Linked DNA regions of Stegostoma tigrinum. Each later gene encodes a partner of the first gene's protein in a complex. Links are inferred from orthologs where the notes say so. Each region holds a gene or a part of one and is shown on either strand. Other genes may lie near its edges.

Region 1 (8,031 bases):
CCTCAAATCCACATTCCTGCCTACCCCAAATAACCTTCCACCGCTTCTGCAGCCCTCTGAGGTAAAGGGTTCTTCAGATTCACTGTCCTCTAAGGGAAGAAATTCCTCCTGGTCTCTGTCTTAAAAGGGTGACCCCGTATTCTGAGATTATGCCCTCTGGGCCAAGGCTCTTCCACAAGGGGAAACATGTAGCCTGTCAAATCCCATAAGAATCTTATACGTTTCAATATGAATCTGTTTCAATCCCATTCTTCTAAACTCCAATGAGTACAGTACTGAAGCTCTCCTCATAAATCCCTCCCCATCTGGGATCAGCCAACTGAATCTTCTCTGGACAGCCTCCAATGCCAGTATACCTTTCCTGAGGTAAGGGTCCCAAAACTGACTCGTGCTTTGTAGTTTTAGCAAGATATACTTTTAAACTCCATTCCTTTTGAAAGAAAGGCTAGCATTAAATTTTCCTTCCCTATCACCCATTGTATCACTGTGCTAGCTTTTTGTGGCTTGTGCATGAAGACTCCCAAATCCTTGTTTCCTTCTGCAGTCTTTCTCCATTTAAATAATGTTCAACTCTTCTACAGATCATCTATTGTGCCAACATGCCTCAGACAAGAACACATTACAGAATACTGTTGTGAGAGCTTCTTGTGCACAATTTGATTAGTGCATTTCTACATTACAGAAGTGACCACAATTCAAAAATATTTGATTGGCTGTCAAATACTGTGGTCACAAATGGAACCACATAAATGCAAGTCCTTTGCTTCATGGATTCTCTGATGCCATGCAACTTTAACCTGCTGACTGCACATTGTGCTCACCAGATATTAATCCTTTGGAGAATCATTCCTTTGGTTTTCATGTCCACCATTCTGGAAGAATGTAACTTGCGGTTAACTCATGGGAGACATACATGCCATGATTAATATTCATAAGATTATTAAATCTGAATGGATTTAGGGCCAGTCATATCACTTTAGATGTATGACAAATGGTTTTCTAATTATAATGTATGTGTGTTAAGCCTATAAAACCTAGAAATATATTTTTTTAACAAAAACATACTAAATTTAGCAAGTACATTCTATGGTTTTCTTTGCAGCGCTAACAAAATGCAGTTCAGTATTACAACAAGTGAAGAAGTATGGATTGAACTGGCATTGTAGAGGCTAGAAGACCAGCTGGACCCATAAGCCTACCTGTGGAATTTTGTTTTTATTACAGCAGGTGGATACAGCTTTGCATAACAGTAATTTATCATTTGATCTATACCTTTTAATATGTTGCTAGGCATTGCGATTTGCTCACTGCAGTTTCCTCGGTTTTGTATCTGATCAGAATGCTCTGTCATTGTCCTATACAATGCTTATAATCTCCTTTTTAAAATGTATATTTGTGGGGCTGCTGAAAAGGTTTATTTTCATTATCCCTTTCTAATTTTCCCAGGAAAGAAATCTGGGTCTTCTGTCTGGACAACTCTTAGGATGAGGTGTTAGGTGTGGAATTCTAGGTCAGATATAAAAAGATGTATGAAATTCTTATCAGAGATGATTTTGCTGAAAAATATATTTTCTGAATTACATATTATTAATCTATACAATTTATTTAAAACAGAAGTCAACACTCAAATTCAATTTGAGTTTCTTGACATACAAATGAGTTTTGAAAAAATGTGTATGTAAATAAGTTTAAATAAAAAATGACAAGTTAATAAAAATGTGAATGTGAGGTTTATAATATTCATTAAAAAACAAATAAAAAATATAAATGCAATGGTGCTGATATTCATGAAAAGCAAACACCAATTTGAAAAGAATGTGAACTGAAGAAGTTTAAAAGATTTGTTGAAAAACAAATGACCATTTAGAAGTCACATGCCACCAGGTTACAGTCTAACAGGTTTAATTGAAATCACAAGGTTTTGGAGCACAGTCCCTTCGTCAGGTGCAGGGAGGGAGGAGAGCACACAGGCACAGAGTTTATAGGCTGACAGATCAAAAGATTAGATTACTGGGGTGAGTGGTGTGTAAGAACACTACAACTACATGCTGATCCAACCAAAGAACACACCTGACAAGTCAACAGACTGATCAAGACTTTTGATCCTGACCTTCAGAGCATCCTGTGCATTTCTTGCACAGGAGACTTCTACAGCCTTCTGAAGATACACAAAGCCAACACACTTGAACATCCCATTGTATGAGGCAATGGGACCTTGTGAGAGAACCTCTCTGGCTATGTTGAGGGCATCCTGAATCCCATTGTACAAGGAACCCCAGCTTCTGTCACGACACTACAGATTTCTTATAGAAACACAGCAGCCACAGGCTAGTTGAACCAGGAACAATCCTCGTCACAATGGACATTTCGGAACTCTACACCAGCATCCCTCACAATGATGGCAACATTGCAACAGCCTCAACACCGCTGACTGCCAATTTCCAGATGCCAACTTTCAACTCATTTGCTTCAACGTTGACCACAATGTCTTCACCTTTGGCAACCAGTTCTTCATCCAGACACATGGAGCAGCCATGGCGCCCAGATTTGCACCCCAATATGCCAGCATTTTGTGCACAAGTCTGAGCAAGGCTTCATTGCTGTGCAGGACCTCCGACCAAAGCTATACACCAAATACGTTGACGATATTTTCCTCCTTTGGACACATGGTGAGGAATCACTGAAACAACATAACCACTGCATAGTGATGTCAACAAGTTTCACCACACCATTAGACTTGCCATGGCCTACTCTTCAGAATCAGTCACATTCTTGGACACATGCATCTCCATCAAGGATGGACACCTCGGTACCTCACTCTACCACGTTCCTATGGATAACCTTACAGTGCTGCACTTCTCTAGCTTTCACCCTAAATATATTAAAGAAGCCATTCCCGACAGACAAGCCCTGCACATGCACAGGATCTGCTCAGATGAGGAGGAATGCGATGGACATCTAAAGGTTTTGAAGGACACCCTCATAAGAACAGAATATGCTGCTCAACTCATTGATCGCCAGTTCCGACATGCTACAGTGAAAAGCCGCAATGACCTCCTCAGCAGACAAATACAGGATACGACCAATGAGGTATCCTTTGTCATCCAGTAATTCCCTGGAACATGTCATTAATAATGATGATCATCTCATCAAGATCATCCCCATGCCTTCAAACAACCGCCAAGCCTTAAACAGGCCATTGTTTGCAGCAAACTACCTAGCCTTCAGGACAACATTGACCAGAACATTGCACAACCCTGCCATGGCACTCTCTGCAAGACATGTCAGATCATTGATAGGGACACTACCATCACACATTGGAATACCGCCCACCATGTACATGGCACATACTCATGTGACTCAGCCAATGTTGTCTATCTCATATGTTGCAGACAAGGATGCCCAGAGGCACGGTACATTGGTGAGACCATGCAAATGCTATGACAATGGACGAATGGACACCATGCAACAATCGCCAGACAGGGGTGTTAACTCCCAGTGGGGGAACACTTCGGTCAAGGACATTCAGCCTCCGATCTTTGGGTAACTGTCCTCCAAAGCAGACTTTGATGTATACAACCACGCAGAATTGCTAAGCAGAAACTGATAGACAAGTTCCATACAGATGAAGACATTCTCAACTGTAATCTTGGGTTCATGTCACACTACATGTGACCTGACCATACTGTTCTGAACCTGTAAAATCTTCCTTACTGTCCTGTTTGACAGCATCACCTTGATAATTTTTTAAATGATCTCTCTACATTAATTAGATTGTACAATTTTGAATTACTTATTACTTTGGTTAGACCCTGGGCATGTGAGTCTTATATCACTTATGTTATTCCAGCACCACCTTATTTTTAATTTTTTGTAATTATCTCTCTGCCTCACTTAATTATAGGTCAGCCTTTTGCTGGTTATTTCACTGTTGACGCTTGACTCACTGTCTAACACTCTTGGTCACCTGCAGAGACTTATTTTCTGACACTGCACTCACAAAAGTTCTATGATCTTTTGAATTCTCTGCCCTTGATCTCTCTGCCTATAAACTCTGTGTCCGTTTGCTCTTTCTCCCACTGCACCTGACGAAGGGGTGCTCTGAAAGCTTGTGATTTCAGATAAACCTGTTGGACTATAGCCTGGCGTTGTATGACTTCTGACTTTGTCCACCCCAGTCCAACACAGGCTCCTCCACATCATTTTTAAAAAGTTAAAGTGCAGTTTACAAACTTCATTAAAAATATAATTTGAAAAGGAACTTTAACAGGAAGGAGGTTGCAACATCATTAAAAACAAACTACAGTTTTAAAAAGAATGAACGTAAAAACGTTAAGACGTGAATGTGAAGAGCTGTACAATCGTTATTTTAAAATTCGATCAGATTTAGTAGTTTGACTCATTCCATTAGCATCTTCATGTGAAAGCCTCAGATAAAACAAAGAATCGCGGACTTCGGAGTGCTGAAACAAACGCAGAAATTGTTGCAGGAACACAGCAGGTCAGGAGTCATCTACGGAGAGAGAGAAAACAGAGTGAATGTTTCAAGTTCAATGACCCTCCTTCAGAAAGTGAAAGCCTGAGATTTGCTCTGACTTGTCTTGACAGGTACACACACGTGCGCAATTGACACCCTGTGACAACTACAAGTTGACTTTTGATACAAAACTAGAGCATGACGCCTGCGCGTCCCGACACTCTCCATTGGCGATCTCCGCACGCTCCAGCCTCTCAGATTGGACACCCGGTAACATCACGTGCCATCTGAGGGCCACTCGGAATGTAGCATGGGCGGGCCGCTCCCCCAAATCGGACCTGCCCTCCCACGTGGGCCCGCGCCGCTCACAGGGGACTATCCCCTCCCTATGTCCCCACCCATGCCTCTCTCCCTATTTATTTCAGAACCCTGTCCCCATCCCCCTTTTCTGATGAAGGGTCTAGGCCCGAAACATCAGCTTTTGTGCTCCTGAGATGCTGCTGGGCCTGCTGTGTTCATCCAGCCTCACATTTTATTATCTTGGAATCTCCAGCATCTGCAGTTCCCATTATCTCTGACCACAGGGGACAGCCTGTCGTCTTGTGCCCCGCCCCCAACGGTGTGGATTGGTCGAGGTTCACACCACCTGTCACGCCCATCCACCACCTCTGCGGCCTCTGAATGGAGAGGCCAGCGTGTCAAGCAGGGAGATGCATCCAATGGGGGAGAGGAAGGTGGGTGGGGGGGCGTGGACCGTTGGCTGGGGCTCGCGCCGGCGTTCGCTCGCAGTTTGAAAGCTTGAAGGGAGCGAGCGGGAGCTGAGGAGGAATAGGAGAACGTTGTGACTGGTTTTCGATAAAAATAATCATAAAAACTCTATTATGTCCGCTCAAAATGGAACAGAATGTGCAGGAAGGGGAATAAAAGACACTTAATATAACTGTTCGGTTTCCCCTCCCTTTTGCTGCTTTTATAAAATAATTATATTTTTTTCCCCTGAGGGGATAAGGGAGGGAGGGAACAGCCTCCATTTCCATTACAAACATGGCGGCCTGCAGCAGCGGCCGGCTCGGCTTCTTCACCCTGCCCGCCTTCAGCGTTTGCTGCTGCTGCCTCGTCCTCCTGCTCTTGTCGAGCCTGAGCGGGCGGGCGGCCGCCTCCGACGAGGGCGACACGGTCATCATCGGCCTGAGGCTGGAGGACACGGACGAGGTGACGGGCATGGGGGGCGGCGTGCTGCGGGTCAGCGAGCGGACGCGGGTCCGGCTGCGGCTGTACGGCCAGCGAATCGACAACAGCACCTGGAGCCGCATCGGCTTCACGGAGCACCGGCGGACGGCCGACGACGCGGCCGGCTTCGACCCGTGCGGGGTGCGCACCTCGGACATCGTGGTGCTGCCGGGCGTCGCGGTGAGCCGCCGCAGCACCGGCGTCATCGAGATGGACGTGAAGCCGCTTCGCAAGACGGAGAAGAGCAAAGCCTACTACCTGTGCACGGCGGCCCGGGCTCCGGAACCGGGCTCGGGGCAAGCCGACTGGCTGTACCACGACACCGAGGACACCATGGTGGTGGTGGTGGAGGAGAGGAAGTTCCTGTTGCCCTTCTGGCTGCAGGTCATCTTCATTTCGGTGCTGCTCTGCCTGTCGGGCATGTTCAGCGGCTTGAACCTGGGGCTGATGGCGCTGGACCCCATGGAGCTGCGGATCGTGCAGAACTGCGGCACCGAGAAGGAGAAGAACTACGCCAAGCGCATCGAGCCGGTCCGCCGCCAGGGTAACTACCTGCTCTGCTCGCTGCTGCTTGGCAACGTGCTGGTCAACACCACGCTGACCATCCTGCTGGACGACATCGCCGGCTCCGGGGTGGTGGCCGTGGCTGTCTCCACCATCGGCATCGTCATCTTCGGCGAGATCGTCCCGCAGGCCATCTGCTCCCGCCACGGCCTGGCGGTCGGCGCCAACACCATCGTGCTGACCAAGTTCTTCATGCTGCTCACCTTCCCGGCCTCTTACCCGGTCAGCCGCCTGCTGGATGTCATCCTGGGCCAAGAGATCGGCACCGTCTACAACCGCGAGAAGCTGCTGGAGATGCTGCGGGTCACCGACCCTTACAACGACCTGGTCAAGGAGGAGCTCAACATCATCCAGGGCGCCCTGGAGCTCCGGACTAAAACGGTGGAGGACGTGATGACCCCGTTGCGAGATTGCTTCATGATCACCGGCGACGCGATCCTGGATTTCAACACCATGTCCGAGGTCATGGAGAGCGGATACACCAGGATCCCCGTGTACGAAGGCGAGCGGTCAAACATCGTTGACCTACTTTTCGTGAAGGACTTGGCATTTGTGGACCCCGACGACTGCACCCCTCTGAAAACCATCACCAAATTTTACAACCACCCCTTGCATTTTGTTTTCAACGACACGAAGCTGGATGCGATGCTGGAGGAGTTTAAAAAAGGTGGGAGAATGTTGATTATGTTTCTGTTTTTCACCCTTGGTGGTCAGGCTACGTACCTCAGTTCTTTTTGCATGAGTTTGTGTTGTCAACCTATAGCAGCGCAACTCTAACCGAAAACACGTTCTACACATCTTAAAACAGTTAGTGTAAAAGCGGTTACCACCTATATATATTTATGTTCACCTGTAAATGTTTCGTTGACACTCTCACTTTCTCCCAACGTACAGCCAACCGCTGGCATAAGATTCATTAGGTAGCCTACCTCTAACATCTTTTCTATTCTCCCCGACTTCCAACATCTTGAACTACAGTTAAGTTTCGACAGTGTAAACCATTCAGTTTCTCTTCGTTGGCGGGACAGGGTGTGGGGGCAAGAGCTGAATCTTAAGTTATGATATTTTTGTAAACCATAAATAAGTCTTACTGTTAAATATAATGTGTACTCAACACTGTTCATAATATTTAATAAACTTGTCTGCTATTCATGAGACTTTAAGATGTGTAGCTACGTAAAATTTGATAACCCAGTGCTTGTCTGATTGTGTACAAGATTGTAAGGACTCTACTTGAGATTCTTTCTGGCTGTTGCCATGCCATTGGTTTGCCAACATTTTAAAGACTTTGCATTCCAATACATGTAAATATAAATATAATGTGGTGAGACAATGGTGTCAGTTTTTTATTCAACATCTAGTTGTGTTCTTGGTACAACATTTTGTTAAACCTACTAAAAATTAGTTTAGCAAATGTTTTTAAGAAAATAGTTGTTTGGTCTTAAATTTGGTGTTCTGTACCAAAAAATACTTATAGATGATGGATGTGTCTGGCAGGATTGATTTTCTTACTGACTGTAATCTATATGCTATGTGGAAAAGTCCATGTGACTTGCCTCGTACGCATGAAAATGGAATTTAAAGCACACAGTGTCAGAATACATAGTGCTTTCAGGCAGCAGTATAGTGACTGAAATTTCTAAATTGTGATTTCTAGAATTTTTATTTACCATTGCTTGGGGCTTATTTTTGCCATATCTCTGATAATGGGAATTTTTGATATGTTAGGCTGCTGTGTGATGACATGACCAGTGGAGTCA
Region 2 (7,723 bases), on another chromosome or scaffold:
TTCTAACTATTTGACAAACCCAGGCAACCTTGCTCACACAGACACACGAGTACAAATCTTATTGACTGAAATGATTTTTTATCTGACACTCAAAAAGAAACTTTGGAAGTCAAGTTGTTGAAACCCAGAGTAGATCTCCAGAACAAAAGGAAAGGGAATATTAACTTACAAAATGCATTATTATTACAGGTAACTGAAGATTCTTGTTAATCAGCAACAGCCCAGGTTTCTTTGCCCCTTTTGTTTTAAAAGCATCGAGCCCTTGTCATCATCTCCATCATGAAACACACGTGTACAAAACTGTCCTCCAGACTTCTGAAGCATCGAAGTACCGAAGCATCAGTTCACAAATGTAACTTAAAATTATTAACTATGGTTTTGCCTTCTTAACAAGAAAATAAAAGTAAATAAATTTACCTTCAAGTTGCACACTGTTCTCAACAGTTTCATTGCAAAGTCTGAAATTCTGGTCTGCACCCAGTAGTCTGGATCACTAATAGAGATCAGGTAAATTAGTCGAATATAGAACAATGGGTTCCTTCTGCAACATCTTTAGGAAGTCTAAATACACAACATCTACAACTTTGACCTCGTCAATCCACTGCTACTTCAACAAAAACCTTGTTCAAATTTCTTAAACATAAGTTGTACTTAAATCTATGTTGCCTTTCCTCAAATAAATCATCTGTCCAAGTGACTAATAACTATGTCCTAGATTTTCATTTCTAGAAGCTTTCCCAACATTGAGGGGTTAAACTGACTAGTCTACAGTTATTAAGCTCTTCTTGACAACTTTTCTGAATAAGAGAGCAGTATTGTCGATTACCAGTCTGCAGGCACAATTCCAGTACCTGAGGAGGATTAAAAGATTACTATCAATGCCTTTGTAACTTTTTTCAAGATGCATCTCACCCAGTTCTGGTGACTTACCAACCTTAAAATACAGCCCATCTTTGTCATCCCTCCTCCGTGTCACTTTTCTTAAAGCATTCTTTCACAGGAGGTGGCTTTCCCTGACAATTCTTGATGCCCATCATTAAGTGTCCTCTGATAAGATACAGAAGTCAAACTTTTTTGCCATCGAACAAGTGTCACACGGAGGCCCAAACCAGGTGAGGATAGCAGATTTCCTTCTCTAAACAACATTGTTTAATACTGCTGATTGATCAACTACACTGACATGGTTTCCATTTCCAAACTTGAATTTCAGACTTTTTTTATTTTAAAAAAAAATCACTAAATTTAATCTCTATTAGTGGCCATAGTGTGACTAGAACCCATGTCTGTAGTGCCTGAACCTTGCTTTACCCATTCAGCAACATAACCATGATGCCATTGTCTCCCTAATGTTTTGGCACCATCGCAACTACCTCACCTTTCAGCATCTTGAGCAGCATGTTCCTTCAAAGAGACAAATACAAGTACATATTCAGTACCTCTATTACACCCTGTTTCCTTGCATGAATCTTCTTCCCTTGATACTTAAATCAATCCTACTCCCCCTTTCACTAGTCACATGCCTAAAGACGACTTTCGGATTCACTTTTATATTGGTCATCAGTCTCTCCACCTATTTCTCCTTTCACTTACTCTCTTGATTCCTGAAGCAAAAAACTAACAAAAAAAAAACTGGTGAAATAAGATAAGAATGCAATAAAGTTTTAAAAAGGTTATGCATCAGAGCCTTTACTGATTCTAGTCCAGTGGTCTCAAAAATTTAAGGCTCTCTCACTAAACAACCTGTAGTGATCTGCTGGGTCAGTCAGAAAACAAAGTACCTTTTAAAAACACAATGCTGCAATCAACTAGTATGGAAGTATTGTAAGTACAGCTTGCTCCACAATTCAGATGAGTAATGCCTCATCTACATCTCAGCTTCATTTGTCAACCTTTCAATAGCCTACTACAGCCTCAGCTTTCAAACATTAAAAGCTCCAATTGTCCAGCGTGCATTGTCTTGTAGCTAAAGATATGAAAATATCCTGAATTTCCACCCAAAAAAGCCTCACTCGCATTACCAGTTATGACCCTCATTTCATCACCAGAACGTACATAATGACCTTCAGAAATAAGAATGCCGTAAAGTACAAATTTTGAAAAGAATCAAAGAAATTTAAACTGGTTATATTGTAAACACTTCAATTTCCAACAATGCCATTATGGAAAGGTTATGTACAAGTGGGTATCATTTTAAACTTAAATACTGTTAATCTAATTATTTGAACGACATTTTAAAACACCATAGCTGATAAACATACAATAAACGTTAGCATACAATTCAACATCTGAAGCTTCAGGAAAAAAAACGATTGAAAACAAGAATCGAATTAAGAGCATTAAAGTGAACACGAATGTGGGTGGGGGGATAAAAAAAAAGAGGGGCTGGAGACGGGTTTGGGAAGGGGGTGAGAATGAGGATACTGCCAGTTGAAAACTAATGAGTATTAATGTACAGAGTGACAAGCTATTTAAATAGGGTACCAGCTATGGCTCATGAGGATACAGTAAGATAAAACAAGAGATGAGGCGCATGGAGAGAGAAGACGTAGGTGAGGAGCAAAAAGTATAACTCTGTGGACGGAGGGGTGAGGGCGAACAGAGACAGGGAAAGAAAAAGCAGAGAGTGGTAGGGAAGATGCAAACAGAAGTGGGGGGGGCAGAGGGGATGGAAACCGGAGACCAAGTGGGAGGCGGGAAGAGGCGAGAGGGGCTGGAGACGGGTTTGGGAAGGGGGAGGGGGACTGAAATGAGGATACTGCCAGTGGAGACACCTGAGGAGGTGCAGAGTTGAAAGCAGGTTCAATAAGCTGCTGACTCGCGGGCGGTGGGCTCGGGTCCAAGGCCTACCCTGGGGACGCACGGCACTTAATCTGAGCTTGTCTGCCCGGCCCAAGCTCAAATACGGCCGGTCCCAACCCGGAGATCCTACCGAATAAATGCCGATTCGACACACAGCGGCCGACAACTCCAAACACTGGCCCATATCCCGGGATACAGGTACCGCCTCTCGGAAAAACCGGCGGCTGCGGCCACCAGACCGGAGGGCGGGGCCTCGCGACGAACGGGCACCACTAGCCCCGCCCATCACCGCAGCCACGCCCCCCCGTACCATTCCACATGACCCCGCCCCTTTCCTCTGCACGATCCCAACCCTGCCCATTCCCCATTCCTACAAATGTAATCTGGCTGAATTTCCATCTCTACTGTCATTGATGGTTTTCTACCCCGTCAGAATTCATTGCGCCTTCACCTCACTCCATGCTTCTCCATTTACTATCCCAGATTGCAGTGGATAGTGGAACACTAAGTAAATTTGAGAAGGAGGTAGACGGATTTTCAAGCAGAGCGTAAATAGAAAATGAATAGGAAAGCGGAGTGGAGGACAAGGTAACATCAGCCAAGATCCTATTGAATAGTGGAACAGTTTCAAGGGGCTTTTTGCCTAGTCTGCTCTTAGCTCTTGGGCTTTGTGTTCTTTGGGCAGTCCTATAATCAGTTATATTATAGTTCAATTACAGTACGCTGACTGCCATTATGTAACCATGAACTGTTTTGGATCCCTTATCTAAAGGAAAGATGCACTGAAAACAGAGGTGGTCAGAGTCATAGAGATGCACAGCACAGATACAGATGCTCCAGTCCATCTCATCCATGCAGGCCAGATACCTTAATCTTCATTTCCCAACATTTGGTCCATATCTCTCTAAATTCTTCATATCAACATTCATACCAATACACCACCTTCCAAACACCTTCCTGCAAAAATGCCATCCCTTATTCCCAATTCCTGGGTGCAGCTGCGGCGGAGTCGAAGGATGAGGCATTCCACTCCCGTATATCTCTGATGTCCTCGTTTTTCAAACGCCGCAACTTCCCCCCCAACCGCAGTGGTTGAGAACACCGTCGACCGTGTTTCCCGCATTTCCAGCAACTCAGCCCTCACACCCCGTCCCCGCAATAACCACCAAAAGAGAATCCCCCTCGTCCTCACATACCACCCCACCAAACTCCGGATCCAACGCATCATCCTCCGACATTTGCATCATCTGCAATCCGACCTCACCAAAGATATTTTTCCCTCCCCATCCTTGTCTGCTTTCCAGAGGGACCACTCTCTCCGTGACTCCTTTGTCTGCTCCACACTCCCCTCCAGCCCCACCACATCCTGAACTTTTCCATGCAACCGCAGGAAGTGCTACACTTGCTTCCACAACTCCTGGCCCCAAAAAGACTGACCACATCAAGCAGATGTTCACCTGCACATCTGCCAATGTGGTATACTGCATCCACTGCACCCGGTGTGGCTTCCTCTACATTGGGGAAACCAGCGGAGGCTTGGGGACCACGTTGCAGAACACCTCCGCTCGGGTCGCAATAACCAGCTGCACCTCCCAGTCGCGAACCATTTCAACTCCCCTTCCCATTCCTGAGATGACATGTCCATCCTGGGCCTCCTGCAGTGCCACAACGATGCCACCCGAAGGTTGCAGGAACAGCATCTCACATTCCGCTTAGGAACCCTGCAGCCCAATGGTATCAATGTGGACTTCACAAGCTTCAAAATCTCCCCTCCCCCCACCGCATCCCAAAACCAGCCCCGCCTCCCTAACCTGTTCTTATTCTCACTTATCCCCTCCTCCCACCCTCAAGCCACACCCCCATTTCCTACCTACTAACTTCATCCCGCCCCCTTGACCTGTCCGTCCTCCCTGGACGGGCCTCTCTCTTCCCTACCTCCCTACCTACACTCACCTTTACTGGTTCCATCCCTGCCTCTTTGACCTGTCTGTCTCCTCTCCACCTAACTTCTCCTCTATCCATCTTCGATCCACCTCCCCCCTCTCTCCCCATTTATTTCAGAACCCCTGCCCCATTTCTGATGAAGGGTCTAGGCTCAAATCATCAGCTTTCCTGTTCTTAAGATGCTGCTTGGCCTGCTGAGTTCATCCAGCTCCACACCTTGTTATCTTGGATTCTCCAGCATCTGCAGTTCCTATTATCTCTGTGTACCCATCCAGATGCCTGTTAATTGTTGTAATCGTACTAGCCTCCATCACTTCCTCTGACAGCTCTTTCCAAACACAAACCATCCCCTTCATTAAAAAGTTGCCCCTTATGTCCCTTTTAAAATTTTCCCCTCTTAGCTTAAACCTATGCCTTCTACCCTAGGAAAAGACCTTGGCTCTTGAGCCTATCTTTGCCCCTCATGATTCATAAACCTCTATAAAGGTCACCCCTTAGCCTTCGACACTCTAGGGAAAATAGCCCCAGCTTATTCAACCTGTCCCAATGGCTCTAACACTCCAACCCTGGCAACATCCTTGTAAACCATTTCTGAACCCTTTCAAGTTTTACAACAACCTTCCTTTGGCAGGGAGACCAGAATTACATGCAGTATTCCAAAAAGGGGCCAACCAATATCCTGTATAGCTGCAACATATACCTATATCCCGACTCCTATACTCAATATACTGAACAAAAAAGGAAAGCATACCAAATGTATTTTTCACTATCCTGTCAACCTGTGACTCCACTTAAGGAACTATGACTATGTACTCCAAGGCCTCTTTGTTCAGCAACATTCCCCAGGACCTTATCATTAAGTGATTAAGTCCAGACCTGATTTGTCTCTCCAAAATCCAGCACCTAGCATTTACCTAAATTAAACTCCATCTGCCATTCTCAATCCATTGGTCTATCTGATCAAGATCCTGTTGGACTCTGAGGAAGCCCTCTTTGCTTCCACTACACCATGAACTTTGGTGTCATGAACAAACATACAAACCATACCTACTATTTTCACATTTAAATCATTTATGTGAACAACAAAAAGCACAACAGAAGCTTCACTATGTTGATCCCGCATATGGAGGAGAAGTGGAGCTGTTCAGCTCTGCACTCAATCAAAGCCTTATCACATAGGCTTCTATCATAAATAACCCATTGTTAGCCACTAATAATCCCCACTTGCAGATATTCATTCCCTAGGCTGACCTTTATTCATTCCTTTGTCTGCCCAACTGTTTCTCTCTTGCTCTCTGCTCCATCTCCACCTATCATTTTCTCCTCCATCCTCCCTCCAACTCCATCTTTAGCACATTTACCAAACCTTTCCCAGCTTCAGTTTTCAAGACGACTCACTGGACTGAAATTTTAACTCTGCTTTCTCACCACACATGCTGCCAAACTTATTGAGTCATTTCAGCAATTTCTGTTTTTGCTTGTGCAAATGTAGAATATGGCCACATACAGTCATAAAAGGTGGTGGCTAATTAACCAAAAAGAGGAACATGATCACTTATAGATGCCAGTCTTCAGCCAATTCAATTAACATTACATTTAATGGTAAGATTCTGGGGGATGTGTTGCCAAACAACAAAGCAATGGAATGCAGGTTCATAGTGCCTTGAAAGTGGAGCTGCAGGTGGACAGAGTAGTCTCATAGGAATGAACCACTAGAGGAAGTGGTGGAAGCTGGTACAATTACAACATTTAAAAGGCATCAGGATAGGTAGATGAACAGGGTAATGAAGTGTGAAACTGGATGAACACAGCAGGCCAAGCAGCATCTCAGGAGCAAAAAAGCTGGCGTTTCGGGCCTAGGCCCATCAGAGAGGGGAAGGGGGAGAAGTAGATGAACAGGAAGGGTTTAGAGGGATACGGGCCAAATGCTGGCAAATGGGACTAGATTTGTTTAGGATATCAGTTCGGCATGGACGGGTGGACTGAAGGGTCTGAATCATAAAATCCCCAGTTTTCTTTTCTGTGGTATATAACTTAGCACTCAGGTCCACACCAATGTCCACAATATAAAAGTATGCAAACCGAACCCTCTTTAATGCTAATTTCTGGCATTGAAACCAAGTCTTCAGAACAAATTCTGAAATGGAATGCACAAAACAACCGGAATTTTATCCAAAAATGTAGGGTCCCACTGTGCTAATAATAATTATTACCCAGTTCAGTTAATTCATGTAATGATTACCTTTGAAATGCCACCAAACATTGCGACTGTAGGAAAATAAGGGAAAGAAAAAGGAATGCCATTAGAGCATAGAAAGCCTCTGCTGTCAGTTATGACGTATAGGAATATTAATGGCATATTTTCTTGAAAGTATAGCTAAAGCCCAACATTAGTAACTTATCGTCAAAACAAAATAGGCGGACTCTGAAGAAGGGTCCTAACCCAAAACATCAACTTTCCTGCTCCTCTGATGCGACCTGGCCTGTTGTGTTTCTCCAGGTCCACACTGTTACCTCTGACTCCAGCAGTTGCAGTTCTTACTACCTCTATAGGAGCTGTTAATGTCTTTTGCTGTCAAAAGTATAACGTTTGCTCGCTTTCCTTTCCAAAGATAAACTCAATATTGTCAGTGAAGAACTTTTTTTCCATTGTACAATTCTGTAGCATCTTTACGATTGACAAGGACGGGGAAACAATTTTCTCATATACAAAGTACTTTTAAAATAGGATCCGTTGTTGAAAAGCGAGACATGCTTCCAAAGCATTTTAGATCATTTTAATCATCCTGTTCATACATGCTATCAGATATCTCTGAAGCAGATGGGATTTGAATCCAGGCTTACTGGATACTGTACTGAGGAAGTGACAATGAACCCAAAAAGTTAACTCCAATTTCTCTCCACAGATATGCTGGGCTTTTCCAACAATTTATTTTTATGTTTCTGGACCCCATCACTGTGGCATAAGTCAATGGATTTT

The links. The genes of interacting proteins can lie anywhere in the genome.
Region 2: the proteins of metal transporter CNNM2-like (region 1) and ADP-ribosylation factor-like protein 15 are in contact, whole or in part, in a crystal structure (PDB 8F6D), measured with the Homo sapiens proteins. The link is inferred for Stegostoma tigrinum from reciprocal best matches to the Homo sapiens genes CNNM2 and ARL15. Residues at the interface, in NP_060119.3 of Homo sapiens: Asn490, Val492, Pro521, Leu522, His523, Phe524, Val525, Phe526, Thr529, Glu537, Lys542, Ser543, Gln549; in NP_061960.1 of Homo sapiens: Tyr92, Ser94, Arg95, Gln98, Gln128, His129, Pro130, Gln131, Cys133.

Annotation. Positions count from the first base shown.
Region 1 is NC_081373.1:8,219,589-8,227,619, forward strand, and holds the start of metal transporter CNNM2-like, read left to right. Parts: upstream 1-4,948; 5' UTR 4,949-5,521; coding exon 5,522-6,938; intron 6,939-8,031.
Region 2 is NC_081354.1:126,662,064-126,669,786, reverse strand, and holds the start of ADP-ribosylation factor-like protein 15, read right to left. Parts: upstream 3,059-7,723; 5' UTR 2,984-3,058; coding exon 2,930-2,983; exon of another isoform or gene 2,848-2,929; intron 494-2,847; exon of another isoform or gene 451-493; coding exon of another isoform or gene 418-450; intron 1-417.